4 linked regions of the Lonchura striata genome follow. The protein of the gene in region 4 purifies or fractionates together with the protein of the main gene of each other region. This does not show direct contact. Links are inferred from orthologs where the notes say so. Each region holds a gene or a part of one and is shown on either strand. Other genes may lie near its edges.

Region 1 (7,723 bases), about 11 Mb from region 4:
GCATGCTGCTTGAGGCAATGTGGCATGACCACCAGTGGTGCATTGCACAGGTTTAATTACCAAACACAACCTTTGCATAGGAAGCAAAATCACTAACTATGGCCACAGCAGACAAGATGCACAGGTTGATGGTTCATCTGAGGGTAACAGCCTAATGAAACATGAAGTTGTGCCACCAGCTCAAAGGACAGACAGTAAGGTAGCAACAGGAAGGTAGAAATCCTGGACATAAGGTTTTCACATGAACCCACCACAAAGGTGGTGTTGCCACCCAAAATCTTAGCAAGGTGTGTTTGAAGTGTCATGCACTGCATGCATTCCTTCTGCTTTGCACCAAACAGATCCTTGTAACCCACTACTGAATTTTGTGTTTCTGTAGTTTCAGAGAATGCTGTTCAACTACCCTATCCCTTTCTTGTTCAAGAAATGATGTATAGTGCTGAAAGAGCCCAAGCAGGATTTCCCTTACACTAAATATTTCACAAACACAGATGGAGATGGAGGACCTCTCCTTGCTTTCTGCCTGAAGCAAATAAAGTCTAGACACATGCCCACCACAAAGCAATCATGGCACAAAGCAGATCACCCAGTGCTCTGTGACTCCCACCGCTGCAGCTCTGCCTCTCTGGCTACCCCAGCACAGCATGCTGCCGGCATCAGGTTCCCTTTGTGGCTGTGAAGGCAAGACTGCTGCTCTTACACTGCAGCCAGCTGTGCCAGTTATTCTCTCGAGCTCTGGAAGCCAGATTTGGGAGGCAGCAGACTTTGAATCTCTCCTCTGAGTTGAAAAATACAGAGCAGATATTTGCAGATCATAGAAGAATAAGAGTAGGCGGGTTTGATTGCATTGGACAAGCAAGAAGAGGTTACAGGTCATCAGCTGAGGTACTAGAAAACCATTAGAGCAGGAGAATCAGGATGGGACAGGCAGTACTGGGAAGACAATACTTGCTACTTAGTTTTGCTTTCATGAGCTTTTCATTGAACCTCTACTGAATTTTGGCATTCTGGCAGCCTTGCTCTGACTCAGTGAGCTCCCATCCATCTATGGCTGCACTGTCATCTACACTTGAGCAAATAACACATCTATGAACCCCTCTCCAGCCACAATATGTGCACTTTAGCTTACCAATAAAGAACTGCTATGCAGTGGTTAACCTCTGAAGGAAAAAAAAAAAAAAAAAAAAAAAAAAAAAAAAAAAAAAAAAAAAAAGTTGAAAGAAAAAAAGAAAAAGAATAAGAAAAAAGAGGGGAAAAAAAAGAAGAAAACATTGGGGGGAAAAAAAAAAGAGAAAAAAGGAGAAAATCCTTAGAGGAAAATAAAGACAATTCATTCCCTCTCCACCAAAAAGGCACAGAAGTTGACTCTCTCTTCTCCAAATAATGAGATGAATGTTTTACAAAATATCCCAGTTTCCAAATGATTCAGTTTGTATTAGAAGACAGAAAAAGAATCATACAGTGCTGAAGAAGGATTATGGCACAAAGAACAAGCGATACAGTCATTCTGCAAGTTACTTTGTTTTCAACATGCAGCTCCTGCCAAAGGCTAGCTTTTTGCTCTCACAGTGTATGATCTGTAAACATTTAACCAGCTCTCTGAGAAACATGTGAGACCCTTGCTTGATTATGAATCCAAACCTCTCAGATCTAAAATAAAAAGACAACAAAAAAGAGACACCATCCTCTTTTTGCTGCTGGACAATGAAAAAAGCACCTGTGGGATGAAAGCAAATGAACTATCACACAGGGCATAGGTTCTTCGAGAAAAGCATGCACTGCCGCTTGAATAAACCTCCTACAGGTTACAAACGCACAGGTTGTTAAACAACACTGGTATTAGATTATTAATGCCTATTGATGTATGTGCAAAACTTCCAATTTCTAAGGAGTGCATTCAGTTTTATAAAGCCTAAGACCACATAATTTAATGCTGACATAGAAACAGTGGTGGAATGCCATTATATGAGCTCTTTGCGATTTGTTTACCGTTCGAAGCAAATTCTGCTTTTAAAAATTGAATTAAAAAAAAAAAAAAACCAAAAAAAAAAAACCACCAAAAAAAACCAAAAAAACAAAAAAAAACCCAACAAAAACCCTAACAATAACAACAGAAAAGGCCATACCGTAAGGAAAACTGTGAACGCAGCGAAACCATAAAGTACACATCCCCAACTTGGGGAATCCCGCAGGCTCACCCTGCGCCTCGCGGAAGGCGGTCGGACCGGCCACCACAAACGCGGAGCCACCGTCTCCAAGTTGGAACTTCCAGGCTGCACTGCCGGACACTGCCCCGCGGCGCGCTCCTGCCGCGCCCGCAGAGCGGGAAGGGGCGGGAGGGGCAGCGGCTCGGGCTGCGGCCAAGGGGCGCTGCCGGCAGCATCCCGGGGAGCGCTGCCCGCCCTGCCCTACCCCGTCTCGGCTTCGCGGGTACGCGGGCGCCGGCGCCCTGCGGAGCCCGGCCGGGGCCGGGGCCGGCCGGCAGCCCCGCACCGCTGTCACCTGGCCCCGCCGCGCCCGGCCCGCCCCGGCAGAGCAGCGGCGGCTGCCGCGCTCCCGCGAAGTTCCCGGGCGGGGCACGGCCAGCACCGAGCCGCTGCCCGCCCTCCTCCTTCCCCGGCTCATCTCGCTCCCCGCGTCCCCCCACGGGTGCCGGTCCTTACCGGAGCGGAGCGGGCTGCGCGCCGGCACGCCGCCGGAGGGGCGAGCGCTGCGCCCCGGCAGGCTGGGCTGGGCTGGGCTGGGCTGGCTCCGCGGTCCCGGCCCGGCCCGGCCCGGCTCGGGCGGGGCGGAGCGGGGCGCAGCCCGGCGCACCTCCGCGGCCCCGCGCCGCTCCGCCGCTCCCTCCGCCCCGCGGGCTCAGGCTGCCCCCGGCCCAGCCCCAGCCCCAGCCCCGCGCTGCTGTCCCTACCTGGGGCGGCAGGGGCTGCGCGCCCCGGCGGGCACGGGCGTCCCTCCTCCCGCACGGCACCTGGGCTGCGGGGCGGCTCTCCGCGCCCTTCCCTCAGGCGCCTCCGCCGCGCTGGTGGCGGCTCCCAGCGGTAAATCAGCCGGTCCCCGCGCTCCCTCCGCCCCTCCGGCGCGGTCCTGACCTGCCTGTGACTCACCACATCGCAGGAGCCCGGGTGCGCGGTGGGGGGAAGGAGGGAGGGGGGCCTCCTTCTCTCGCTCCCCCTCCCCTCCTTTCTGCCCCTCGTCCCTCCCGGCCAGGCCCCCAGCCCAGGGGTAGGAGGGATGGATGTCGCTCCCCAGATGGGGAAAGCCAGGAGGGGACCCTTGGTGGACCTTCTGCACCTCGGCGTTTTCAGGCCAAGTGAGTACCAGTGGTGTGCAGGCACAGCCTCCCTCCTCACTCCCAGCCGCAGGGCACCCATCATCAGGTGTCAGTGCCTGACTGATGCTAAAGCCTAACCCTGAGAGGTCAAGATATGGGCACCCCTAGGTTTGTCCTGAGACCCCCCCTAGGCTGTGTAGTAGTGAACAAATTTAGCCCATATTGCACTATCATGGTGTCAGTGCTGACTGTGCTTTAAATGTCTATCCACATGTAATTCAAACAAATGACCTCAGTTTATATAGACTATCAAGTAGCTGTCTTCCCCCATATGTGCTTCCTACAGGGTAGTAAACTGCACAGGTTGGGGTTTTTCCCTCACAAGGTTTGCAAAGCAGATGATGACTTCATCTTTCAGAGGTGCTGAGAAACTGAGTCACTCAGCAATACTGCCTGTGCAATGTACACTTGTGGAGCTGCCGAGAGACTGCAAGTCTCAACACTGGGGCATGCAGCAAAGATCCATCTTTTTTTCTGGTAACGAGTTTCAGCAGCTACTGATTTAAACCAGATTTTAAGTGAAAGGCTCCATATTCCAATAGAAGTTACTGGAGACATCTATTTTCCCTTTGCTTGCTTCCTTTTTTGGCCCCAACTCTGCTGCCCTTAATCATACCATTTAAACCGATGAACGTTTTTCATGAGTGAAGTACAAGGAACTGTAAGAAGCACTGCCCAGTTTCATGATTAACCATGGGAAAAATGTCAGATCTTACATCAAAACATTCTGTAAGGAAAATTAAATATTGTATGTATTTGTTTTAGGCCTTGGATGTCACCAGGATGTGTACAAAGCTGTACAACAGAACAAAATGTTTTAAAAAAGCAGTTAGCCACCTTTCTGCTAGTCTTCTGCTAGTCTTTCACAATTTATCTGTCTCCTCTTTCCTTTGGACTTGCCAGCACTAGTGATAAAGACATCAAACCTAGCTATAAGCCAGTTCTGTGCAAAAACAGATGCATGATTGAGGGCAGCCTGCCCCCCAGCTTCCCCTTCAGAGGAAGTTGTAACTGCAATGAGGTCTCCCTTCAGTCTCTTCTTCAGACAAAGTGACCTCAGCCACTCCTCATATGGCTTCTCCTCAAGGCCCTTCACCATCTTCATTGCCCTCCTTTGGATGCTCTCTAGGAGCTTTATATTTTCCTTATATTGTGGTGCCCAAAACTGCCCCCAGCACTCAAGGTGAGGCTGCCCCAGTGCAGAGCAGAGCAGGATAATCCCCTCCCTTGCCAGTTAGTGATGCCTGATGCCCTCCAGGACATGGTTAGTCTTTTTGGCTGCCAGGGCACTGCTGACTCAAATTCAGTTTGCCATCAACCAGGAATCCTGGCTCCCTTTCCACAGTGATAGTCTCCAACTTCTTGTTCCCCAGTCTATCCATACATCCAGTGTTGTCCCATTCCAGGTGCTGAATTCGGCACTTGTCTCTGTTAAACTTCATGACTGATGTAATCTCATTTCTTTCAAGTGTCTGGAAATCTGTCAATTTACTTCAATAACCTTTATTTCAATTAATATTCAGCAATAGTTAGGAAAAATAAGACAGTGTGGATGCCCCCCACCCCCGCCCAGGGAAAAGCAAGGCTACAATTAGACTGTGCTGCTTGCTGGGCTTCAATTAGTGATCAGTCAGTCACTGCTGACTGTGCTGTGCACTACTACTGTACGGTGCACCAGTACAGCCACACCAGACTTGGAAGAATCTTCCTTAAGGGTTTTGAAATAAAGTGATAAAGAAAAATATTTAAATCCAGAGCTCATTCTAAGGACAGCCCCTCATATTATCTGTTGTTAGCCTGCTCCTGAGTTCACTGTGCACCTGCCTGGGCTGAGCAGCCAGCGCCCAGGCTGTTATCAGTGGGACAGTCTGTGCTATTCTAAAACTAACAAATGGATTGTCACTAACATAAAAAGGAGAAACAGATGTTTCCTTTCCATTTTGACCATGCTGATGCCATGTTATTTTAGGTTAGTTTTATGAGACAGTTACACTGCACTGAGGCTTTGATAATCATCTGATACTCCTTTCATCATGCTTGCACCATGTGTACACCATGAACAACTTCTCAGAGGCTTGAAGTAGCTTTAAGGTGCAGTTATGGGTGAAAAAGAAACTGACTTTCTTAGTCATCATCCTGGTCTCTTTATAGGTTTTCCTAATCTCTCTTCCCTGTCCAAAAGGAGCTGGTCCTCTTCAGTCTGGCATAAGATGGCGTGACACATTTTAAAAAGCTGACGACACTGGAAAAAACAATTCAAAAGTGTGAAGGAGAGTCTATGAGGGTGATCTGCTCAGTAAGAGAACTGGAACACACTGGGGAGTATATTGGCACATCCTTTCCAGCCCTGATGTGTTTTGAGATAGGAAGCTGGTGAGCAAACCCTATCACATTTCCAAGAATACAGAAATAGAGTTAGAAAATGAATTGCAAGGCTATGTTGAACTTAAACTTTCAAGTGTAAACATGAGGAATGAAAACACAGGATGATTTCTGTACATTGGCAGTAGTGCATCTCAACACACTAATGTGTCCACTTCAGTTTTATGGGTTTCATTGTGACTTCTGTTCAGAACCTGAGAAATTATTTATCATAACTACAAGTAGCAAAATGACGTTTATAGAATTATGTATCCAATTTATACCTAATTTCAGTAAGAAAAAATATATATTTAAATACCTCTGCAAATCTGGATCTAACCACATTTTCTAGAAGTGCAGAATCAAACATAAATCTACTGTGCATTGCTGCAGAACCACACTCTACTACATGGCACCACAGCTATATGGTAGCATCAGAGGATTTACTCTTTGTCCTCTGCTGCAGTCATTCACACCTTTGGGAGCAAATATAAAATGCAAATGTCATTGTGAAGCTCCAGAGACTTCTGACTTAGTGGAGCTTACTCATGAGTAAATGATTTCAGAAGGAGCAAGACAGCGGAAAGGAATTAATTTAATGCTTAAGAACACACAAGACAAAGATCTCTAGAGCTGAGCTTCACAGCGGTGGATATCAGGTACCTTCCTGTTGCAGAACCCTGCAACAGGGACTCAGAATAGCTGAGTCTGAGTATCTCTGGAGGTTGATAAACAAAATAAGAGCCTTAGGTGAACCCACCCAGCTCAACTGCCTGACATACCAGTGATCCAAGGGGAAAATTATAGTGTGACAGACTGCTGGGGTAATGTGTAGCTGTATTTCCTGTAGACCCTTATTCACTGGAAGGCAGCCTGGCTGCAAATGCCAGGGGCAGCTCAGGGAAGGGGCTGTGCCTGAGGCACATTTTCCTGTGACTACTTTGTCCCTTCAAGTCACTCTGACACAATCTGTCTTTCACTGTCTTTCCTGGGCTCAAAAAGCACACAGTGGGAAGGGACACAGTGTTGACTGGGGGTTGGGCTTTGGAGAAAAAATGCCCATGGTGTTGTTTGCCTCTCTGGAAACTGAGCTAAATATCACAATTACTACTTAGATCTCTAGATTCCAAAGATTTGATCATCACTGCATTTTATGGCATTTATTGTCTAGCCATTTATTAACTAAACCCATAGCTTCTGATAACTAAATAAGTACTTTCTGTTTGTTTGTAAGAGGGTCAACAATGTCACTGGAAGAAATTTCAGCCTGTGACTGGTGGTTGCAAAAGTCCCTTGCAAAGCCAGGAATAGAAGCCTGCAGTTAGAAGTTCTAATCTCTAACCACTAAGCTACCCTAGACAGTTCTCCATTTGTATAGAAACACAGATCATAACCGAGGGTGCTTCCACATATTGCACTGTGGATTATAGGTGACTTTTGAGCAAAGGGAAGTTTTTCTGTTTAACTTGATAAAATTTTCCTCCTTGTTTGTCTTTCTGCTTGTAAAAAAACACCACAACTGGGCCATTCTAAAATCCAAATGGTGAATGCTTCAAGTATAATTCTTGAAAATGGAGGAAAATGTTTATGGGGCTATTGCATCTGAAGTCTGGATTGCCATGGCTCTGTGTCCTTTTTGTGCCAGTCCCAAAGCCTTGGTGATCACATGGGAAACTGGTACATGAAGTTCGGGAATCCAGCAAAAATTAATCAGTCAAAAGAACATAGATTAGTTTACAGATAGATTAGCTCTTCAAATCCATCTGCTATGCAGTAATGTGAGTGCTAGTGCTGCAAAAGGACAAGGTCAGAAATCCAGGAGGAGGGTGGGCTCATGGCAGCACAACATTACATCAGCTTAACTGGAGGGAGCACCTCAGCCTCCAGAAGGCAGAGGAAGAGATGGTGTGATTCTCACTGCTCCCCACCTGAACCTTGCCTTCTTTCCTAGTGATTTTGAAATGCATTAAACCCCTGAATGAGTACCTCTGAACATACAAACCCAAGAAATCATTTCAGGCATGGAAA
Region 2 (7,419 bases), on a different chromosome or scaffold from region 4:
ACAAATTAATCTGCAGTCTAGAACACTTGACACCTTAAACAGAAGTACTAGTACTCAAAAAGAGACTGAAAACTCTTCTGTTCATCTATCAGAGAGAGATTTAAAAGTGCCAATGAGGGGCTAGGAAAACAGAGACTTGCTAGCATATCTCATTACTTTTTTCAGTTCTTAAACCGGCCCAGGGGCTGCAACATCTTGAAGAACAATAACATTCTTTAAAGTATGTCTGGATGAGTTATCCCAGATGCTGTGATGACTGCAGCATAAGACTGCTCCCAGCAGCTCTTTTACTACTGAAGAAGCAGATAGGAACTTGTGACACATAAAAAGACAACAGCAGTTTTGTGTGATCAGAGGCTTCCTAATTGTTCATGAATCCTTCATTAATTAGTTATGCCAGTTTCAAGGCTACTTTAGTGAAAAGGAGCGACAAAGTATTTTAACATATTTGTATCTCTAAGTAATTCACACCCATTTTTTACAGTGCCCCCACATTTGGAAAGCCACATCTATTGCCTGTTATCACCTATACTTTTTCATGACTTATAATTAGAAAGTTACCACCTCAAAGATGTTTTTACCAGAACAAAATGCGAGTTCAACTATTTAAGAGCAAGATAGCAACACTTATTTCTCATTGTGCCTGTTCAGCAGTGCAATATATTGCCACACATTTTTCTAAGGAAATTCCCTATTCTATGAGATCAGAACCCAAACTTGAATGAGTTAGATGAGAGTTAATTAAGTTCAGCTTTGTAATTCCAAGTTCCCCTGCATATTTCTCTGACCTCAGATACTATACCACTTCATTCACATCCCATGGACTACAGCTGCCTTTGGCTTCTTCATTGACCTCAATGACCTGTATTACAATACAGCACTTCTTTTCAGCTTCTATTTAACTTCAGAAATACTACAGGCAAACCTTAGTGATGCAAAGATGTCATCTAGCAGTAATGGAAACCTAGTTTGCAAAAATATCATGTGGTATAACTGTTGTTTTAAAAAGTATGTTGTGCAACCTGCAGCCTTTAATTCTGGGAATAGAGGCCATGTTAAGCTAAGCCTTTGGAACCACATAAACTTTTTCATATACCTGTTGCCTCATTTCAATTAGAATCCCTTACACTATTGAAGAAAATCCCATCATATTATTTCTTTAGAGATTTTGTTTCTCCATTGGCTAAATGAGCAAACTGAGAGCCACTGCAGATGTTTGTAGGTTTCAAAGAACCTGAAACTTTCAACCCTTCCTTTATTTCCCCCACACAGTAAAGGACTATTTTTATTGACTTTTAGCATATGTTACTTCACCATTTTAGTTGACCTCTTAGACTTTTTGCAAGCCTCCTCATAATAAACAGGCAGTCAGAAAAAAAAAAATCTCTTTGTTATGTTTAACTTTTAAACGGCTATAGTACCGGAATGAAATTAATCAACAAAACTCCGAAAAACTACTTGGCCTGGTATAAATTTAATTTCCATTCTTTCTAGCAACAACTGCTTGTCTATTTCTTATAGGACTACATAAAAAACACCACTGAAGTACCCTAGGTTTTGTAGACCAGTTACAAAATGAAACTCTTATATTGATTTGTAGCCAAAAAAAAAAAAAAAAAGAAAGGCTAGAACCTGTCAGTTCTAAGTATTATGCACAGACATGTAGAAAAATAATTGGTTTAGTATTTTTTTGGTTACAGAACGCTGAGCTCCACCCTGACAGCCACCAGTTCATGGTGTGCTACTGCTTTCAAATATTTTGATAGCCTTTTTCCCGCGCTGCTTCTTACTGGGCGATGTGCTCATAACGGATGGGATACTCTTGGTCGGAGGGTGACTGAGTACAAGTGGAGGAGGATTCTCTCATAGCACACAAATAGCGTGAACAGCACTGTATGCAAGTGGGACAGGAAGAGAAACCAAAGTAATTCACACGTGTTCATGGCAACCCAGTGCAAAGCCTTCCCCTTTTTAACAAGTATCAAACGCTTGAAAGTTGAGTAAGTGCAGCCAGTTACATCTCCTAAGTATAGAGACTGTGGAGATAGAGAGAAGTGAAGTTAAATGAATAACTGTTCACCTGAAACTCCAATAAATCTGCAAGCAGGGAGAACCTATCAGCAAGACAACTGTGGTTCAAAGTTACTTCAGGGTGACTTCTACAAAGAGAATGCTTTGCAGGAGAAAACAGGACTTAGGCACATACTTCCACCCTCCCATCCCTGCGCTTATTACAATCACCCGCTGCCCTGAAAGCTACACCAGCTCTTCTCCGCAGAGCAGGCTCAGACCGAAACTTTCATGGGGCTTTTGACTCGGAGGCTGAAAGGTGCGAAACGGCTGCAGGAACGGTATCTGTCACACCTAACTTCTCCAAATTAAGTTTTGGTGCCTGTTATCTCTCTTGATGCCGCCGCTGCAGTCCTTGGGCGATAGCGCTGATCTGGCCCTTGGGCGAGAAGCAGAGCGCTCCGCAGTTTAAGCCGGAAGGGCCCAGCACGCCCCGCACGGCAGCGGAGCGGAGCCGCGGTGCGCGCACGGCGGAGGGCACGGACCGTCCGGCCCCGGCCGCCGCCCACGTCCCGCCGCCGACTCACCCAGCTGGAGCTGCTCGCACCCTCCGCTGGAGTTCCCCCCGATCCGGCACCGGAATACGTCCCCGGGGCTGAGCACCGACTCGTTGGCGGGCCAGCTGGCCCGGGGCGCGCCCGCCACCAGCCTGCGGGGCAGAGACGGCAGCGTGAGGAGCCGTGGCCAGGACCAGGCGCGACGGGCCCCCGCGGGGGCGGCCGGGCCGGGGACTCACCATCGCTCCTCGCCGTGGCGGTGCAGGAGAACAGAGTACCCGAAGAAGGTCCCGTTGCTCCCGCGGAAGAGCAGCGCGTGCTGCGTGTCCAGGTTGTAGGGCCGCGCCGTCGGCAGGCACTGCCACAGCAGGAGCAGCGGGGCGGCCCAGCCCGCGGCGCCCCGCGCCCTCCCGCAGCTCCGCATGGCTCCGCCGGCCGGCAGCGCTCCGACGCCGGCTTCCCCCCTCTCCGCTCGGCGAGAGGGCAGCGCCGCGCCCCGCCCCGCCCTGCCCCGCCCTGGGGCGCCCTCTCCGCAGCGCGGGCTGGGGGTGTCCCCGCGGACGGGGCAGTCGCACGGCCCCGCCGCCGCCTCCTCCCGCGCGGTCGCAGCCCCTCTCCCTGCCCAGGCGGCGGGGGTCGGGTTTCTCTCCGCCCCGTCCGCGCCCACGGGGACGCTGCGGAAGGGACACGGCCCCCGCGTCCCCGGGCACTGCCCCCGTGGGACGCGGCTATCCAGGCACCGGCGGAGCAGAGAGGGCCGCGTCCCCATCTCTTCGCCTCGACACCCTTGCCCGGCCCAGCCCGCAAAGGGGGAAGGAGTTACTGGAAACTTATCCTAAAATCTCCCGCCGAGCAGCGGGCGGGCGGCTCAAGAGCAGAACCGTGTTCTGAGAAAGGAAGCGTGGAGAAGATTTGAGTTTTCTGTTTAGATTTAAGAAGAAACCCAGTACCCCTGTGTTGAAAGCCTTCCACGCAGTCGCTGTGCTGAGGGAGCCTTGCCTGCTGTCCCCCGGTGTGGGTATTTGGTTCCTGAAACCAGTGCCGCACAAGCAGGGCACTGGCCTACCCAAGACTTGTTGCACAAGACTGCTGATGGCGCCTTCCTTTTCACGTGTCATGTAGTCAAAACAATCCCCCATCGCTTCTTGTACATTTTAGAGTAACTTTTGCACATTCCTATTCAGTTCTTCAGTTGCTGACAAAGTTAGCGGCCATGCCTCCAGACAGCAAAGGAACAAAGGAAACTGAGCATTGTGCAAGAGATCTGGTATTTGTAAGGGCTCCCTTGATCTTAGTGAGGAGCATTTCTGTGCGTGTTTTCAGCAATCAGTTGCTGACTCTTGATTTAGCTCATACTGAGTTGTGCTCATCCTGAAATCAAGGCTTTTATTTCTATCTGCAAACCTTGCCTTACTGAAATCCTTTGAATACCAGGTCTTCCCCGTTGCTAAAATAATCCCTGTATATGGATAAGCTATGTATAACAGTATTTTGAATCTGAGAAACAAGAACAGAAGAACTTCTAAAAAAAAATTTATTTACAAAGATTACTTACTGAATCTGGACTAAAATCCAGTATGATTGCAACTATTGAATATTATACACATTAGAAATAACAGTGAGATTTCCCTAATGTAAATTTAGAACATGGCATTTTAAACTCTTGGGAAAATACCCCCCTTGGAAAGTTTCACGTTTCTGCAAAATGCTGAGCAACTACCAGAGTGGGGCACTGAGGCAATGCAGAGTGAAACATGCAGATGTGTAGTTTCTGGAATGAGATCAGCACAGTGGAAGATCTGACAGCCAGTCATCAGTGTATCTTTTTTTGATTCCTCATCTCTAGAGCCATCAGAGGGCTTCTTCGGATGAGACTGATGTGGAGCGGTGGCTGTTTCGTGCAAAGGAGTCAAACAGCTCCGCAGCTGCTATTCATCTTCCTTCCAATTACTTACATCAAAGGAGTTAAAACAATCAACAGCAGCTGTGAATCTGCATTTCTACTACTCAAGAAGTTTTCACCCTCATTTTCAAAGCAGCAAAACAAGCATGAATCAAAACTGAAATGCTAAATTGTGGTTTAGTTGGTGAAAAATTGTAACATGGTTGTACCACCGTGATGTTGGAACCATGTTGAGATAGTGGCTGTGTTCCTAGCTGACAGGAAAAGGTAGATTGTAAAGTGGTGGGATTCAATTATTGATGCATACATAACTGTTTATCAGCTATGATATGAAATTGAGAGCTCTATATCACCTGTCAGGAGGAAATGTGTGTGTTGTCTCCTAGACTCTGCTAGAGTGCATGTGATAGTGATCCATCAGGCATCCATGAAATCAGTGGAATACAAATTACTGGAGAGTCAGAAATCCATATTTTGAGAAATTTTTGCAGGTTTCAGTACAATTCAGGTACTAGAAAGAGATCAGAATAAATGCAACTGACAATATGGAGTAATGGAGAGAGAATTTGAGTTTTATTAGAGATTTAGAGAATTTGCAGAAAAGGTGGAACCAACACTGGAAGCCAAGTACCTGTATTTACAAATCAAATATCAGTTATGTATCAGTTTATATCTAAGTTATCCTGAAATAATAAAAAAAGTTCTCCCCAAAACATCTTGCTGCTATTCATTCTCAACAGCACATCTCTCACAGTCCTTTGTGGGTTAATAACACTAGAAGAAAAATATCCCAGTGACTTGCCTCTTGTGCTTGAATTTGGTTCACCATCTAAGGCAATTTCAGAGGAGCCAGTGGGATGATTTGTTAATTATATTAGTCTGCAGTTTGGCAACATTTTTTACAGCAGATGTGTGCATTTCATCTGACTGTCCTCATCTCTTGCTGCTTGTTCTTGAATCATACAGTGACCCTGTTATGCTGATACTGTTCAGTGTCTGAGCAGTGAAACACATCAGAGAAGTGATCTGGGTTAAAAATAACTCAGACAAAAGCCCCCAAACCTACATCACATTTGTAGCTGGCCAGTTGTATTGGTTGTATTTATAGGATGGTTTAACCTGATGCTGCAGCTTTAGGAACTTTTTCAGGTAACAGCCTTAGCTTTCTACAAGTAGCAAGTCTACGAAGTTAAAACCTACACATCTGACTTAAAACGAAGCAATTTCTTTCCTTTCTTTTCACCAGTGCTAGTGAGAAGAAGGGTAAGAAAATTACTGAATAAAGAACATACTGATTCTGACATTCATTCATACTGAATGTTTGTCACCTTTCTTCTTTGGAATATATACTTTTTGATTCCCTAAGCTGGAAGGCATTTGTATTAAATTAAGTCCAGTGTATGGGCTGGTGTTGGGTAACTGATCACATAAAAGCTTTTGCTGTGTTATAAATACATGAAAGCACATGTTGATAAAAATCTTCATGGATATGGCTGCTTTCAGCTGTGGCTGTCCCTGGTCTCCTGTGTGCCACATAAGCCTACTGCTGCTTATGGAAGAGTGTCTCCACATCTACTCTGAATTCGAAATAAAAACAAGCAGTGGTTGGGATCCTGTTCCTAATTAGAAAGACATGAAAGTTTAATTTTTAAATTGTCTAAGTACTTAAATAATGCTATTTCAAATTTGAAGTTTCTAAACCATTCTGATTTACTGAAACATGGAAAATTTAGGGTTTTGGTCAGACCATAACTACATCTTCTTTTTATGTAAGCTTCTCCTCCTCCACCCCCCAACAATGGCAGTTGGCCACAGAAGCTACTATTCATATGCTGTCATCTGAGAAATTATAGAAGGCAAATACACTCTTACCTCTAAGGCTGTCTTCAAGAAACTTCATCTTCCCTCTGCTGTAAGATACATGTGAGTTCTCATGAAGAGGTTGCATTGTCCACTGACAAATACAATTAAGCACAGATGTCTGATGCACCAAAAAGAAGCAAATGTTAGCAAGGGTCTTAATTGTATCATTTTGTTTATATTCTCTTAAGAGATCTGAATTTCATTTAGAATCAGTTAAAGAGAAACAATCTTTTAATTTAATCAGCTTATCATATATTTACAATCATATAATGTCCTTTTAGGAAATATTTTTAAAAAGTTTTTTCTTCCCTTGAAAAATTGTGCTGCTGAAGTAAAGACTGATCTGCCAAAAGAGCTTTCCAGAATTTAAACATAAAATAGTGTCATACAGACAATGACTATGACAACCTGACTAGAAGAAGCAAACAAAAGATAATTATTGTTAATAACAGCTTAACTAATAACTGCATTTTGATTTACAGATAGGTAGGACTGGAAATTAATCATTATATGTATATGTGTGATTGATGCATTGCATATCCTTTTTTATTTTTTAAAATTTTGTCAAAGATTCTTGAGTTGCAAGATCAGACACAACAAAATATCTGTTTCTGAGAGGAATTGGGCAGTAACCTTTTTTCCCATCCCAAAGGAATTGCTGAACTTTTGAAACTTTCCCATCTGAAATTCAAACAAAGAGTGTTTTCATGCACCATTTCTGTGTCTTTCTTTGTAAAAGTCTGGTTCAGCAGAGTTGTAGCATTTTTTTCATTATTATAACTTTTAAAAACAAATATTTTAGTTAGATCTAATTTCTTTGAGATAAAAAGGAAATATGTATGTTCAGAGAATTTCAACATAAAAAATAATAATTTATTTAAATCAACACTTTTCCATAATTAATTTTCCATAATGAATCAACATTTCAACACATTCATCTCTACACTGAAAACATTCTGACCACTTATTGATATTGTGTTTCTATTTTTTTTTTTCATATTTCTGTACTTCCATAGATTCCACATGTCTGCTGATGAGATTGGATGCAATGGGAATGGAACAGAATCTGAAAAAACTTTGTGTAAA
Region 3 (7,064 bases), on a different chromosome or scaffold from region 4:
TCTCAAAATGTGATGAAGAACAGGTTTTCAGGTCTTTGAAGATGGTGCTGCCCATCTGGAAGCTTCACCTGGGAGTGAGGGACTTGTCCCATGCCACTTGCCTGCCAATTCCCACTGTTGTGTGTCTAATGAGAGTTCTCATTTTTGTTGATGTTTTGGCAACAGGAAGCATGTCAGGATCTCAGTTTCTGTTCTTAAATCACTAATATGTGATATAAACACCTCATTGAAAGTCAGGAAAACAAACAAACAACTCGAAAGCCCCAGGAGAACTCCTCTACCCGGGAAAGAATGGAAATCTCTTCCCCCTCGCCCTCCAAAGCTGCTCCCCTGATTTTGCAGGGAGTGGCTCACGAGGGTTAAATGTCTGGGGCTGACAGTACTGCAGACTCTAATGCAAAACAAGAGCTGTGGCTGCAAACTTCACTTCACTGGCAAACTACAACAATTTGGGTAGACCAAACTAAATCTCCTAATCCACGGACAGCTAGAGAAAGGAAATGCATTTTTCCGTGTTGATGATATTGAACAGTTTGTTGGGAAGGACTAGGGAGGAGGGAGAAGAGAAGGAATTTCCATTGATAATGCCAGAGATGTAGTCAATGTCCTGTCATGGAGTGTTTATAGCCCATAAAATTCATTCCTGTGCTGTAGCCGGCATGGAGTTACATCTCCCTGAAGTTGCAGCTAACGGTCAGAAGGAATGGATTTCATTTCAAGAGCGATGTTCCGGATTCCTGGACAAGACACTCAGCAGTGAATGAAGCACTGTGCAGCACAGCCTCAGCAGCCTTGAAGTGAATTTTGCTGTGACCTAACAAAAACCACAGACTTGAAATTGTGATGATTCAGAAATTTTCAGCTCGCAGCAGGGGTTCTTGCAAAATATTTAGGAACTGCAGGAAGCATTTAATGGTCTCCCTATGTCAAGGAGAGGAATCCTGACCTTTTTTCTTCATGGTTCTTGTTCCTTATAAGCAATAATTTTAGAAGGATATAATTAAGCCCAAGTGGCCTTTTTTTCTAAGGTTGCTTATAGAATAACAAGTGACTTGGATTGATCCTGAATGTACTGATTCATCCTCTCTTTGCTGTTGGAATGTGCTGAAGAATGGCTACAGGGACAGACCATGCTCCCAGTCACACGTGTGGCTCCCCACAAGTGTGTGCAGTGAAGGAAATCAAGTGGAGAGGTTTATCTGCAGAGCAATACGATGGAGCAACAAAAGTCAGGAGAACCGTATAAGGGTATGTGCCTTTCCTAGCCAAGAGCCAAAAAGGTAGGATTTCAGTAGGAAAAAAATTTCAAATAGACCAAGAACATGAATCAGAATACCGATGGCTAAAGCACAGGTTTGGGACATTCCTAATCCTTATTTGGATGCAGAACCCATGAACGGGTGGTTTATAAATTCAAACTGATCTCATCTGAAGGAAGACTTCAGGTGAATCTTCCTTTCATTTCCTGTTAGCTTGAGGGACAAACTGACAGAGGGACGGAAAAGGAGATACATCCCTTTCCTGAAATAAATAAGAGACCTCTCACAAAATTTAACAGCATGCAATATCATAATTACTACATGCTTGTATTGTAATTACTGTCAGAGATTCCTTTAAAAAAGAAACCAGGCTGTTCCAAATCACATTGAGAGACTATAATCACATTGTAAGACTATTTCTGCTGGCTTGCAAATGATGGCTATGCAAGAAACTAATTTGAACACCACTGGAAATTATAATTTTGTTTTGTGTGCTTCCAGTAATGTTTTCTCAAACAAGGATCTTACATTTGTCCCTGTATTTGTGTAATTAATTCTGCGGAAAGCACTAGCACAGTCACACGCTTGCTGACACTGTCTTTTCCCATTCAAATTTCAGACAATACAATTTTCATTTTGTGTAAATACTTATACTGCATTTGAATACCTAAGTGCAGTGCAAAATTACATGATCTGGATTTAAAGTAGACAGAAATTAGGTCAATGTCAATAATTTAATCTTCATGGGAACTACACCTGATACATGAACCTTTTATATACCACTTGCAAATAATTGCTAAAAGCAGATATTTATTCCTCATATTTGCATATTCCACTACATCCTGTTCCTTGGGTACTTAGCTCTTACATTTAGCAGATTTCCCTGAGCAAATTTTATATATCATAACCCTGCTGTCCTTGAAGACTTCTCATAACCCTTTCCTTTACCATGCCAGCTGAGCTTAATTAGCAGCTTGTATCAGCAGCAGAATCTGTTCACACATTCATTGGCTCTTTATTGAGTAACTGGAAAAATGACCGCAAATTGCTTCCTCATTGCATATATGGATCAAAACTCCTCTTTCCCACTGACTTCCACTTAGTAATTCTTCCTTTGGAGCAAGCTAGGTAAAGTACATCCAATGCTCAAACAGCAGCATTTTCTGACAATGTGCTTTTCACCTGGCTTTTATCAGAGACTTCCAGACATAAGGTGGAATGTGAGATGGAATTTGAGGATGACACATCATATCTTAGGTCTTGGAAGAGCAGCAACAGTTTCTGAAAGCAGGTTCTCATTTCAAGAAACTGGATATTTGCTGGTTTATGATGCTATGTCCTGCTTCAAAAGCTAATACTCTCCCTTGCTGTGGCCACCTTAGTTCTGTGACTATTATGAGGGATAATGTGTGTCTGGTGACTCAAAAAAAAATAGATTAAAAAAAAAGGCAGTGCAGTGGATCTAAAAATAAAAATTAGGAAAGGTGGGAGTTAGCTCACCACAGCTCACCTCAATTTACAGGTCAGGTTTCAATTTCCAGTAAGTTTTCAGCAGAGTAGGTTGTGTAAATGTATCTGTGGACACTCCTCATACAAGGGAAAAGAAATTTCCTTGAAAATAGATACCTGACATCACAAGTCCGTATTTTCCTGGAACAGAGCACGTGCTGGATCAGTACTCTGCCTGCTGACATAGCCTTCATCCCAGGAGTGATATTACTGCTTGCACGTCAGTAAAGAGAACACAATGGGCTTGCAGGAAGTGGAACCAGAGCGTGCTGCTCGGCATGCTGAAGAAGTCTTATGGAAAGCTGTGGATATTCACCTTAAAGATGTCTGGAAACAATGTACGCTACTTCACTCTCAGGTTTGTCTGAAGAGTTGCTTTTATACATCAGGAACTGCAGCAGACTTTTTAGGTTAACAATCCCTTTGCCAAGACAAAATATGTGTGAGAAGCATGAAACACAACCTTCCTGTATGGTCTGAACTGGGGTGCTGGTCCAGGCACCGTACCAGAATGGGGCATGCACTGTGCTTTGTTCACTGGCAGCCTGAGAGCCACACTTACTGTTCACACTCTCTACTCTCTGCTTTGCAGTATTCCTTCAAACTAGGGAAAAGGAACACCTCCAGAGCAGCAGAGATGCCCATGGGAAGAAGAGAGATGGAAGAGGTTGACAAAATTTGTGTACAGCGAGGTTACATTAGGGCATCACGTTGAAGAACCCTTCTACTTAATAAAGGTTCAACACCTAGTATTTCTTTCACCTTTTTTTTTTTTCTCAGAGTTGATTTTAGACAGCAAGAAATAAAGTCAGACAAAGAAGGTGCTAAATTTATTTTGAATGGAATGCAATGACACCGATTTTCCAAGTGAGGTGTGAAAGCTTTTAACCTTGAGCTCTCAGCACTAGATAAAACATAACTCAGGGTTGCTATTTCCCACCCGTATGTTACACTTCACCTTCTCCCCTGTGCAGAACACTACTCCTCCTCAACGGAGCAGTATCCGCTTACAGGCAGCGCTGCTCCACGGGAAAAAAAAGAAAAGTTTGCCTCTCCCCTCAAAAAAAGCCATTTTGTTCAGCCAGATGTTTTACAAAATGGCACGGCCGCTGTGCCTGAGGGGGGCCGGGCCTCCCACCCCGGCGGGGCTCGGCGGGGCGGTGGCGGCCCCCGCCCGGCCCCCGGCGGCGCCGAGGCCAATGGGCGCTGGGGCGGCGGCGGCCGCCTCCTCCCGCCCAGCCCGCCCTATATAGCGCCCGGCAGCGGCGCCGTGCCGTCCGTCGGGCTGTCCGTGCCGAGCCGTGCCGAGCCCAGCCGTGCCAGGATGCCGGGCCGCACCGTGTGGCGGCTGGCGCTGCTCGCCCTCTGCCTGGGGGCCGCGGCGGCGGGGGGACAGCGCCGCGGAGCCGGCGGCAAGAGCCGGCGGCAGGCGCAGACCCAAACCACCTCGCTGCCGCAGGGCACCGCCGCGCAGGGAAAGCGTGAGTACCGCCCGCGGGCAGGGCAGGGCGCGGGGCTTGGCACGGCGCGCCGGTGGCCCCGGGGCGCTTTGTCTGACCCCCGCGCTCGCCCGCAGCCGCCCCTCGGCTCGGCGGACCCGCACACGTGTGCGCCCCGCGCCCCGTCCCTCCCGGCTGCTGCCCTCGGTAACGCCGAACTTTGCTTTCTTTCCCCCTCTGTAACCCCACTCCTCCTCTTCCCCCAGAGACCTGCTATGACAATGGACGGTACTATCAGATAAACCAGCAGTGGGAGCGCACTTACCTGGGAAACACTCTGGTCTGTACCTGCTACGGTGGGAGCCGAGGGTTCAACTGCGAGAGCAAGCCCGAACGTAAGTTGGTGGCCCCTTTTGTCTGCGTCGAGACCCCAGCGCTTTTGGTGCCGAGTAAGCCAAGCCTTGTACGAGTTAGGGCTGGCAGCCCGGGTTTTCCACTGAAGTTTGGTACTTAGGGTCAGTAATGGGATCTACACTCAATTACACTGAAGATCTGGCTTGGGATTTTAAGAAATGCTTTTCATTAGCGATGGGCCTGCCACCAGAACCCTGAGCCAAACATCGCTCATCTCTCTGGAGGATTGGATCTAAACATTAATTTTGGAGCCAACCTCTTCTTTATAATGAACTGAACTGACTCCTGGACTCGCATGGGGAAGTTCAAATCTGGAGTCACTTTGCAGCTCTGGCTCTGCTCTGATTGCTTCACCCCAACTTTTCATAGCTGTGCAGTGTCGTCAGCTTGTTTAAAAATATTTCAACTTACAACTTTCCACAGCGTCCCGGCCATGCTGTGAGCTTTCTATAATTGAGTGTAAAATGAGATTGTTTAGTCTGTGCAGAAAAAGTTTAGGGAACAGAAAGAAGTTTAAATGCAAGGTCTGCTGGAGGATGTGTCTCTCCAGGATTCGGTGTAGTTCAGTTTATCAGATGCAATCTATCTCTATTGGTCTGAAGCCACTGGTTTGCCATAATTCCTTTATGTTGCTCTGGAGATAGAAGAGATGAAAATCTGGTTCCTGGCTGACGGTGTTCATGTAAGACAGATGTGAGCATCTCAGCCATCTGTTCTGTGAGGTTTGTGTGCTGCCTGGCTCACGACTGGAGTACTCTAAGGAGTCCCCTTACCCCATAAAAGAGGGTTCAATGTACTTTCCCTTCCCCTGCAGAGATTCCCAAGTTTTACAATTTTGAAATCCAACAGGAAGGTTTCCTTATGACACAATGAACTTTATCTGCCCAGCAGTGAAGAAAATTGTTCTGCTTCACATCTTGAGTCTGGTGGCAGCACTGATGTTCTGGATTCACTCACCTATGCATGAGTATGAGCAATACACAAGCAGTGAAATTTGCTGTTGACTTTGGTGGGACTGCTGCAGAATTTGGGATTAATCTACTCCATTTTTGCTAAGTCAGAGCAAGGATGATTAGCATGACAAAGCACACAGTTTCCAGGGGTTGTTTGCTCCCTCCTGTCTTCCCTACTGTTGGCTTCAAACAGCTGGGATTGATGCTTTCAGGCATGCCTGCCATGTGCAACTTGTGGTTCCCTGAGGGAGGGAAGAAGAGGTTATTGAGCATCATGGGGCCCTTGAGGGGGCAAATTTCACCCAACTTCTTCTCTGCGGTTTTGTCCCATGAGGAAAGAGGAGGCTGATAGGCATTTTTCCCCAGGAAAAAAGGAGTATCTGTGTGAGGAGGCAAGGAATGTGTTTCCGTTGATTGTACGTGTTACTGGTGTGGTTGCATGAAGCTGATTATTTAAATTTTTTTTCTCCCTCATAGCTGAAGAGACCTGCTTTGACAAATACACTGGATCCACTTACCGGGTCGGGGAGACCTATGAGCGCCCCAAGGACTCCATGATCTGGGACTGTACTTGCATTGGAGCTGGACGTGGGAGAATCAGCTGCACCATTGCCAGTATGTAACTAAGAGCCTCTTCCTAGAGCTATTGTTCCTTAGTGTCATATTTTCCACAGCAATTTACACACTATTCCCAGTGCCTGTTAGCTACAGTTGCATGGGGTTTAGTCCAAAGCTCACTAAAGCTTTGAAATTAAAAGTCCCTGCCCCATGTACATATATTTGCACAACCAAACTCCTCTTTTGTTTAAGAGGTCAAGTGCTATGTGAGGAAACATAGGCCAAAAATTACTGTTAGTGTCCAGCCATACAGGCTAGTAAGTTGCTATGTACAAGAGTGTGTGGTACATCTTCACAGATGCAAGTATAAAAGTAGTTTTTTGACTGGAGATAGTCTGCTCTGGAGCTGATGGGTCAAAATAACACTGTCAGCATTAGTGGGACTACTCAGAATAAATGATAATAAGTGAATGCCACCTGATAGCCAATCCTTCATCCTCCAAAAACGTCATTGAACTTGTCTCAGGGGGAACTGGGATTTGATATCCAGACAGCAGCTTAACATGTTCTGTAACTCCTTTTTCACTAGCCTGACCCATACTTTCCTCTTGCTCTTCCCTCTCTTCCCTTGGTCCTTTCTCCCCAGCTCCTGTTTCATGTCTCTGTCTGGAAATCCTTTCCTTATTGAGTCACTGAATTGTTCACAATTTCCCCTTAGTTCATAATTGGACTTTCTGTGAGCACAGAGGAAGATTGCTGTGTGTCAGGATTTCTAGACTGAGATTTCAAAGTCTCTGAGGTACCTTTTGAGAAAAGTCTTGCTGTTAAAAGTATCTAGTTTCTTGCTTAAGACACACATGCAGACCCTAGTAGTGTTGCCACAGAGGACTCTGAAACCAGCCATCATTGTAGCATGGGAAAAAAACAATGCA
Region 4 (6,979 bases):
TGAGTTGCATACGATGGTGTTCACATCGCCATGGGCATCAAAACGGGGATTGAAGTGAAGTCCAAGGAGGGTAGCATCCTTGCCCAGATTCAACACAAAGCTGCAGAGAAAAAAAAAAAGCACAGACATCAATACAGCTAAAAAAAAAAAAAAAAGTAAATACTATAGTAACATGTTTCTCATTACCATGAGCATCCCTTGGTCTGTTTCTTCAAGCCCAGCTGAGGGTAACCTAAGAGAAACCTTTAGCTAAACTACACAGCTTCCTTAAAAAGATGGTACTGTGGCAGTAAGGGGCTCTTTTCTGGGGTGATAGGCTCCAGAGTGCCATCCCTGGAAGAGATACCAGTTCCTCAAACTTTTAACAAGAGAGGGGTTCAGTACACAGTGCCCTGAACAGTGTTATCATACATCTAAACCAATTCCCAAGAGTCAGTTGCTTTCCATAGATTTCCATTCAGTCCTGAACAGTTAGCTAGTGCTGCATCCTGCCTGACAGCCACTGCCTTCTCTCCATCCTGCAGGCTGCTGAAATAAATACCATGTCATTAGCTATCCCAAAGTATCTGCAGTGGCAGTGGGAGGAAGTTTCCTAGCCTAGTGTCCACCTTGCCTGCAGGCCTCTCACCCAGATGAGAAGAGGCATATTTGGCAAGAAAAACCCTGGGAGGCTTCACTCAGACAGTATCAAACTTCAAAGGCACTGGGAAGAGCTGGGACATGTTTCCTGGAACACCACTAGTTCTGGTACAGCAGCTACAGGCTCCACCTTACCTGCAAAGTGCCATCCCCAGCCACAGACCTGCACAAGGGCTGGGGGCTGCTGCAGAGGCTTTGCTGGGAAACCCAGCCACCTGGCCCCTGCCCATTTAGGGGTACACTTCCACTTCAGCCCACCTGCCTGCTCACCACCTTTCTTCCTTCTTTCCTAACCACCATTTGAGGGGAAAATCTACTGGGGCATTATAAATATCCCTACTCCTGGCCATCTTCGTGCAGGGGAGAGGATGTGGTGGGGCAGATGTCTCAAACCAAATCTCAGTATAGACACAGCTTCCATTTCCTTCACCCTGCACTAGAGAGGATGTGGTCACTGCCAGCGTGTGCAGTTGGAACTTCACATCTGCTTTAGCTTAGCCCCTTGGCAGCACAGTGCCTGCAATGTGCATTAGGTGATGACTCACTGGAAGCACTGCTGGTGTTAACCCCTTCTCCTCTTCCACCCAAGAGACAGAGTCCTTTTGCCACCACCTTTTGCAGACCCTCAGTGCAGTGCCCTGGCTGTGCCTGGGCAGCACAGCACAACTCACCTCTTGGCATTTGGTGCAATTTTCCCCTTGACAGTGAGGCGCTGGCCAGGCTTGAGACCCAAGTTGGTGCATACTGGTCCCTGGGGAACATGGAAGCAGAGACATTAGCTCAGTACCTGCTGGCTCACTTGGTCTGACTTGGCTGCTTTCCCTGCTGCCTTTCAAGACAGGCTTTGCTTTGGACCATGGAGAAACAGGGAAGCTCCCTTGCCCTAGGGCATTGTAGCAAGGACATCCCAGAGAAGTTCTCCCAATCACATGGTACATTTGATTGGAGTTCGATTTCCTAATCTTCCTCCTGCTGCTCTCATCAACGTATCTGTATTTCACAGCAGTGAAGGGTAAGTACATTCCAATCACACCCACCCCATCCCAAACACACCCATGTGCCTTGTGGGTCTTGTGTCATCCCACACATATCTGTCTGGGATGGATGGCAGGGATGGAGACTAGCTCATGTTTGAACTTCAAGCCTTGACTAGGTCCAAGGACTCAGACACCTTGCTTTCCATCTCCCAATGGCTTGAGCTTTTGTTTAATGTAGGCTCAGTATGTGCAAGAACATTCTTCTGCTTCACAGAGATACTTTCCCCCCACCTTCTCTCTAGGAGGACCAAAGCATCCTGGAAAGCCCATATGTACTCATTTTTCATCACAGCAGAGCCAAGACCTCAAGAATACTGAAAATCTTTTCTTATTCCATCTTAAAAAAATAAGCTTGCTCTTGGGATCATCTCTGCTCTCAGCCTAATGAAAGGCAAATCAAAGAAATGCAATCACTCTTCTGACATATGCATCTCCCTAGCAGTCACAGAATAGTTAGGACTGGAAGGGACCTTGGAGATCAAGTCCAACCCCCCTACTAAAGTAGGTTCATGTAGAGCAGGTTGCAGTGCCATGTCCAGGTGGCTTTTGAATACCTCCTGAGCAGCAAACCCCACAATCTCTCTGGGCAGTCTGTTCCAGTGCGCTGTTACCCTCACAATGAGGAAGTTTTTCCTTGTATTCAACTATAACTCCCTTCATTTCAGTTTGTGCCTCATGCCCCTTCTCCTGTTGCTGGGCAACTCTGTAAAGAGTCTGGCCCCATGCTCTTGATACCTGCTCTTAAGATAACCTCTCTAACTTCTTAAGATATTTGAACATAGTCCTTGACATTCACATTCCTTACTTCTGTAAGGCACATTCCTTCCAAAAAAGAGAAGATTAACAATTCAATGACTCATGAAAACCTCAGCAGAAAGCAAGCAGCAAGGCTGCCCAGAGAAGATGCTCAGACAGCAATAAATGCTACTGCAGCAGCTTCCCCAGGGTAGAGCTGCAGTAAAACAGGTTACCCCAGTTTAGCACTCAACCCAGCGAGGATCCCCACACACACTGCCCCAAAGGGATCCTACAGGAAAAAAGAACCACTGCTGCCAGAACACAAAACAGCAGCCAGCCCTCTGTAGTGGATGCAGCAGGGATGGGTCCTAACCAGTAGCAGGCACCCAACTCTAACAGACCCTCTGACACTGGGGCTGATGTGCAGGCTAGCACAAGCACCCTCACACCCAGCCAACACAGCCCCACCTCCAGCTAAGCTGCCCCATCCCTTTCTCTACTCACGCAAGACATGGTGCTGCTCTGCAGGGTAGCGCTCCTCTCCACCGAAGTGCAAGAGTCCCAGGCGAGTAGCTCCTAGAGCCCCACCCTTGCCTTTAAATAGATGGAGAGCTGAGTGGTCCCGGCCCTTCTCCACCCCATGCACCAATGAGAAGGGCAGCAGGAGTTGGTTTTGGGAGGAGGGAGGGTCTATTAGACAGAGCTGCCTCCTCCCACACTCGCCCAGCCTCCTCTCCAGGATGCTGAACACAACCCTTCCAAGCAGGCTGTGGGCCACTCCAGGAGGAGATCCAGCTTTATGTGGCCGTGAATCCAATGGAAAGTAGTTTTACAATGAATGCTTTATTATCCAAGGCTTTTATCCCACATGGAAAATGGTCATACGGATCAAGACTTGGCGGGAAGGGTCTGTAATGAGGGCGGGGCTCTTCAGCTCCAGTTAAATCAGGAGTAGAAGAAATGTCACTGATCACACGTATTGCCTAAGAAACTCTTTGTAGTCCAGGTGAAACCCCAGTAACAGAGGACTGGAGCTGCATCCAGGGTCACCTGGCTGCACTATGAATCCTTTCTGTCCCCAGAGACTGCCCAGCTGCTAACACACACTTGTGTAGGTATGGAAACCAAAGGAGAGAAAACAGTCCTTTTTCTACAGAACCCATAGGCACCTTCAAAACTGTACACTTCATCTTGGCTGCAGGGCAGAGTAAGCCAGCAGGAAGCTGCCTTGGAAAGCTGGAAAGAAATTATCTGGGAAAGCACCATGCCTGGCTCTTGCTTCTACCCTGAATACAGCTAGGGGCCTGAGGAAGAAGGGGAAGGGGGCAAAATGCTTCTATCACAATAAGCCATGGGATCTATATGTCTTTTATCTGCCTCTGTGTTCTCTTTGTGGCAAGTATGATTCACTGGGTGAAAGGATTCCTATGGAAAAAGTTACCCAATTACTACATGGCTCAACTTTAATTACACTGAAAGAGAAGGGAAAAATTCAGGCAGTGAGCCAAGCCTGGGGCTTAGAGCTCTCCTTGTCTTGCATATTTGTCTCTAAATCACAAGACGCTCTGTGATTTCCTTAAGAGGCCCAGAACTGAAACTCTCTGAAACAATTTTTTCTTCCATGACTCTGAGGCCCATCAGTTCCCTCTCTGCTGAGAATGTGAGAGTCTCCAGCCCTGTTACCCCCTCCAGTATGACCCCTGAGGATGGCACTACTGAGTATTTCCAGCTGGTGCCATCAATGCCAGCAGAGGTAGCAGGGAGACCCTCTTGCCTGCTTGTTGGAGAGGGCAGAAACAGGCTCCAGACTTTGGCCAGGTTGCTGATCACTCCGTGACACAAGAGGGCAAAATAAAGGCCAAAGTGGTCTTCTCTGCTCTGACATGCCTGCTCCCCCTTTCTCCTTCTGGTCACTTACCTTGGGGTTCAGTCTTGAGCCTGATCAAGGGATCATGTGGTGGAGGACAAGAAGTACTCCATATGAGGAGGAGAAAAAGTAAATAGAATCTGCATCCTTCTACTTGGGATGTGTGTGTTATTAAATCAATTCCTTTCAAATCCAAAGTTTTGTGAGACTAAACCCCAGGCATCTCTCCAAGTACTTGAGCTGCTGCTGGAGCCATGGTCTGGGGGGCGGGACTGGTGGAGGCTGTTGGATGGGGAAGGGAAATGTGTAAATATTTGCTCTCTTGGAGATGGAGGTAGAGGGGGCCTTTTAAAAGCTATGGGGTAAGTTCTGTGTTTTCTGCAGCATTTCTGGCAGCTGGGAACTGTGACCAAGCCTTAGCAGCTTCCAGGTCCTTGAGTTATGTCTGTCTAGGGACTTTCCTCCAAATGCTGCTGTGGAGATTAGAGACCAGCTAATGGCTAAGAGACAATGAAGAAGGGGCTGCCATTCAAAAGCAGGTGCTTAAAGAGCTATTCACATCAAGGAAATTCAGGTTTCAGGCTTGAGTCTAGCTCGGGCAGCCTGTATTTGTCTGATAGAAGTCCAGATGTCTCTACTGACTTTCATGAAACCTTGAATTAAATGGCATTAGCAGAACAGGCTAATACCACAGGCAAGGGGGCCATGGGGTGTCCCATCGCCTGCAGGCCATGGGCCACCACCATCCAAACAATGTCACGTCTGCATTCCTGTTGGAGACATGATGATGAGATGACAAGCTCTAAAGCTCCAGCATCAGCATCCTTACAAGGGATGGCTAAAGTGAGGGGAGGAAAGGTCCCTGCTCACCCTAGTGTCACACCAGGCAGGGATGGTGTCCCTAAGTGTACTGACACCTACTCCACCACACTGGAGACACAGAGGTGCTTGCATGTGATTTTCAGGAGTAATGTGGTGTAGGAAGAGTCACTGTAGATTGAGAAGAGTAGAGCCAGACTCTTTAGAGCTGGCAATCTTCACCACCTGTCACCTCCTTTTTTATCAGTGTGCAGTGGGCCAGCCAGGGGATGTGCCAGCAGTTTAGCAGCCCATGTAATCTGCAAAGGATGCAGATGAGGAAGATGAGGTCAGATCACAACAGACTTTGGTGTCGTGGGCTGTGTGGGAACTCTACACTGGGACAGGGCTCTTCTTCTCCACCATTTCTGCCTCTCCTCACCAGAAAAGCTCTCCTACATTACATTTTAAATCCTAGCTTTGCATTAGAGGGAGAGTCACTGATCTGCATTGTAACTTGGGGAGCAAAGGTCTTCTTTGCTCAGTCCAAAGGGAGTGAGTGATTATGATGCTGTCGCTTCAAACATTGCTCTTGTCCATGCCAAACACTTGGCCAGAGGGAGTCATGAGTTTGGAGAGAGGAGTAATGACTGTGGGATATGACTTCAGCAGTGCCTCACCTCTGGTTATGAAGGTGAGGCAGGTGATGTTTGCATCTGCACTTGCTTTCTGCAAAGTGGGGTTGTGTCCTGGACAGGACAGGGCCCGGAAAAGGGAGTGTAGAAGAGCCAGCTGCCATGACAGGGACTGACCAAATTCACAGACAACACAGATATCCAAGCCCAGGCATCACAGCAAAGACCCCATCAGGAAGGTACTATGCTAGGTTAGGCACCTCACTCAGGTCCTGATAATGGGCATCTCCAGTGTGGCCTGTGCTTCAGTCACCTGCCTCCTGGGAGCAGTTTGCTAATCTCTTGCTAGCCTTTCCTTGCACAATCTGCTCACTCTCCTTAGAAAGTGCAAATTGCCTTTGTGAGTAATCTCAGACAGTCCTTGAGCTTTTAATGCCTTTGGGGCCTGAACCCATCCCCCAGTGCTGGCTGTGACCCAGCATTCCCATCCAAGGGACCAGACATCATTATCTGTCCCTAGGGCTGCACAGGGTGCTCATTGTGACTCTTCTCTCAGGGCCTCAGCCTTCTTCCCGCACTCTCCTTGGCACTCAAAGAGCCCAGGGTGATCTCTCTATACTGAGATGGCACGTTTTCTTGAGATCACAGCCTCCCTCATGGACATCCTCACACCTCCCAACCTCCAAGCTGTAATACACTTTAGGTTGCAGAGGGAAACATGATTGCTAAAAGAGAGTTTCACCATTGCAAGTAGCTTTGATTTAGAGCGTGCCTTCTGGTCTAGCTGATAGGCACTGGCCTCAGCATACCCAGACTGCTCCTGCGGTCTGAGGGCTGGAGTCCAGCTAGTGCAAGCTGTGGGGTTGAGTTGGAACACCGGGCTGAGCCAAGGGGTGGCTCTAAACAAGGTGGTTTGGCAGCTGCCAAAGGAGAAGCCCAGTCAGGCAAGTGTCTGAAGCAAAAGAGGGAAGATCTGCCCCAGATCTTCTTGTGAGGGATGCAGCAATAGATGGGGCATCCTGAGTGATGACAGGGGAGGAATGGGAAAGGGCCTGGCTGAGAAGCCTGGGACTAAAGCCTGCTTGCACACTGTGCTCTTCATCTGGCAAAAGCCTGTTTTGGCTGCAGTTACTCTTGCAGTGATTTGCAACACCTTTCCACAGGGAGAGAGCCTTTGTACCTGTTCAGCCACTTCGTGTCATGTGGCCTGTGGTATTTTAAACTAAGAACTAGGTGTGCTAAACACAGATTTATTATGTTGCGGA

The links.
Region 1: the proteins of LGALS1 (region 4) and MET purify together in Homo sapiens (affinity purification with mass spectrometry; 3 studies listed by BioGRID and IntAct, with this or other methods). This does not show direct contact. The link is inferred for Lonchura striata from reciprocal best matches to the Homo sapiens genes LGALS1 and MET.
Region 2: the proteins of LGALS1 (region 4) and ITGA4 purify together in Homo sapiens (affinity purification with mass spectrometry; 3 studies listed by BioGRID and IntAct, with this or other methods). This does not show direct contact. The link is inferred for Lonchura striata from reciprocal best matches to the Homo sapiens genes LGALS1 and ITGA4.
Region 3: the proteins of LGALS1 (region 4) and FN1 purify together in Homo sapiens (affinity purification with mass spectrometry; 3 studies listed by BioGRID and IntAct, with this or other methods). This does not show direct contact. The link is inferred for Lonchura striata from reciprocal best matches to the Homo sapiens genes LGALS1 and FN1.

The regions. Positions count from the first base shown.
Region 1 is NC_134607.1:34,614,239-34,621,961, forward strand, and holds the start of MET (hepatocyte growth factor receptor), read right to left. Parts: upstream 3,014-7,723; 5' UTR 2,912-3,013; intron 2,734-2,911; exon of another isoform or gene 2,664-2,733; intron 2,329-2,663; exon of another isoform or gene 2,127-2,328; intron 1-2,126. UniProt on the Homo sapiens protein: Receptor tyrosine kinase that transduces signals from the extracellular matrix into the cytoplasm by binding to hepatocyte growth factor/HGF ligand. Regulates many physiological processes including proliferation, scattering, morphogenesis and survival.
Region 2 is NC_134610.1:24,034,376-24,041,794, reverse strand, and holds the start of ITGA4 (integrin alpha-4), read right to left. Parts: upstream 3,007-7,419; 5' UTR 2,992-3,006; coding exon 2,807-2,991; intron 2,720-2,806; coding exon 2,598-2,719; intron 1-2,597. UniProt on the Homo sapiens protein: Integrins alpha-4/beta-1 (VLA-4) and alpha-4/beta-7 are receptors for fibronectin. They recognize one or more domains within the alternatively spliced CS-1 and CS-5 regions of fibronectin. They are also receptors for VCAM1.
Region 3 is NC_134610.1:35,768,582-35,775,645, reverse strand, and holds the start of FN1 (fibronectin), read left to right. Parts: upstream 1-4,063; 5' UTR 4,064-4,092; coding exon 4,093-4,249; intron 4,250-4,473; coding exon 4,474-4,602; intron 4,603-6,051; coding exon 6,052-6,189; intron 6,190-7,064. UniProt on the Homo sapiens protein: Fibronectins bind cell surfaces and various compounds including collagen, fibrin, heparin, DNA, and actin. Fibronectins are involved in cell adhesion, cell motility, opsonization, wound healing, and maintenance of cell shape.
Region 4 is NC_134607.1:23,457,754-23,464,732, reverse strand, and holds the start of LGALS1 (galectin-1), read right to left. Parts: upstream 3,028-6,979; 5' UTR 2,928-3,027; coding exon 2,919-2,927; intron 1,391-2,918; coding exon 1,311-1,390; intron 101-1,310; coding exon 1-100. UniProt on the Homo sapiens protein: Lectin that binds beta-galactoside and a wide array of complex carbohydrates. Plays a role in regulating apoptosis, cell proliferation and cell differentiation. Inhibits CD45 protein phosphatase activity and therefore the dephosphorylation of Lyn kinase.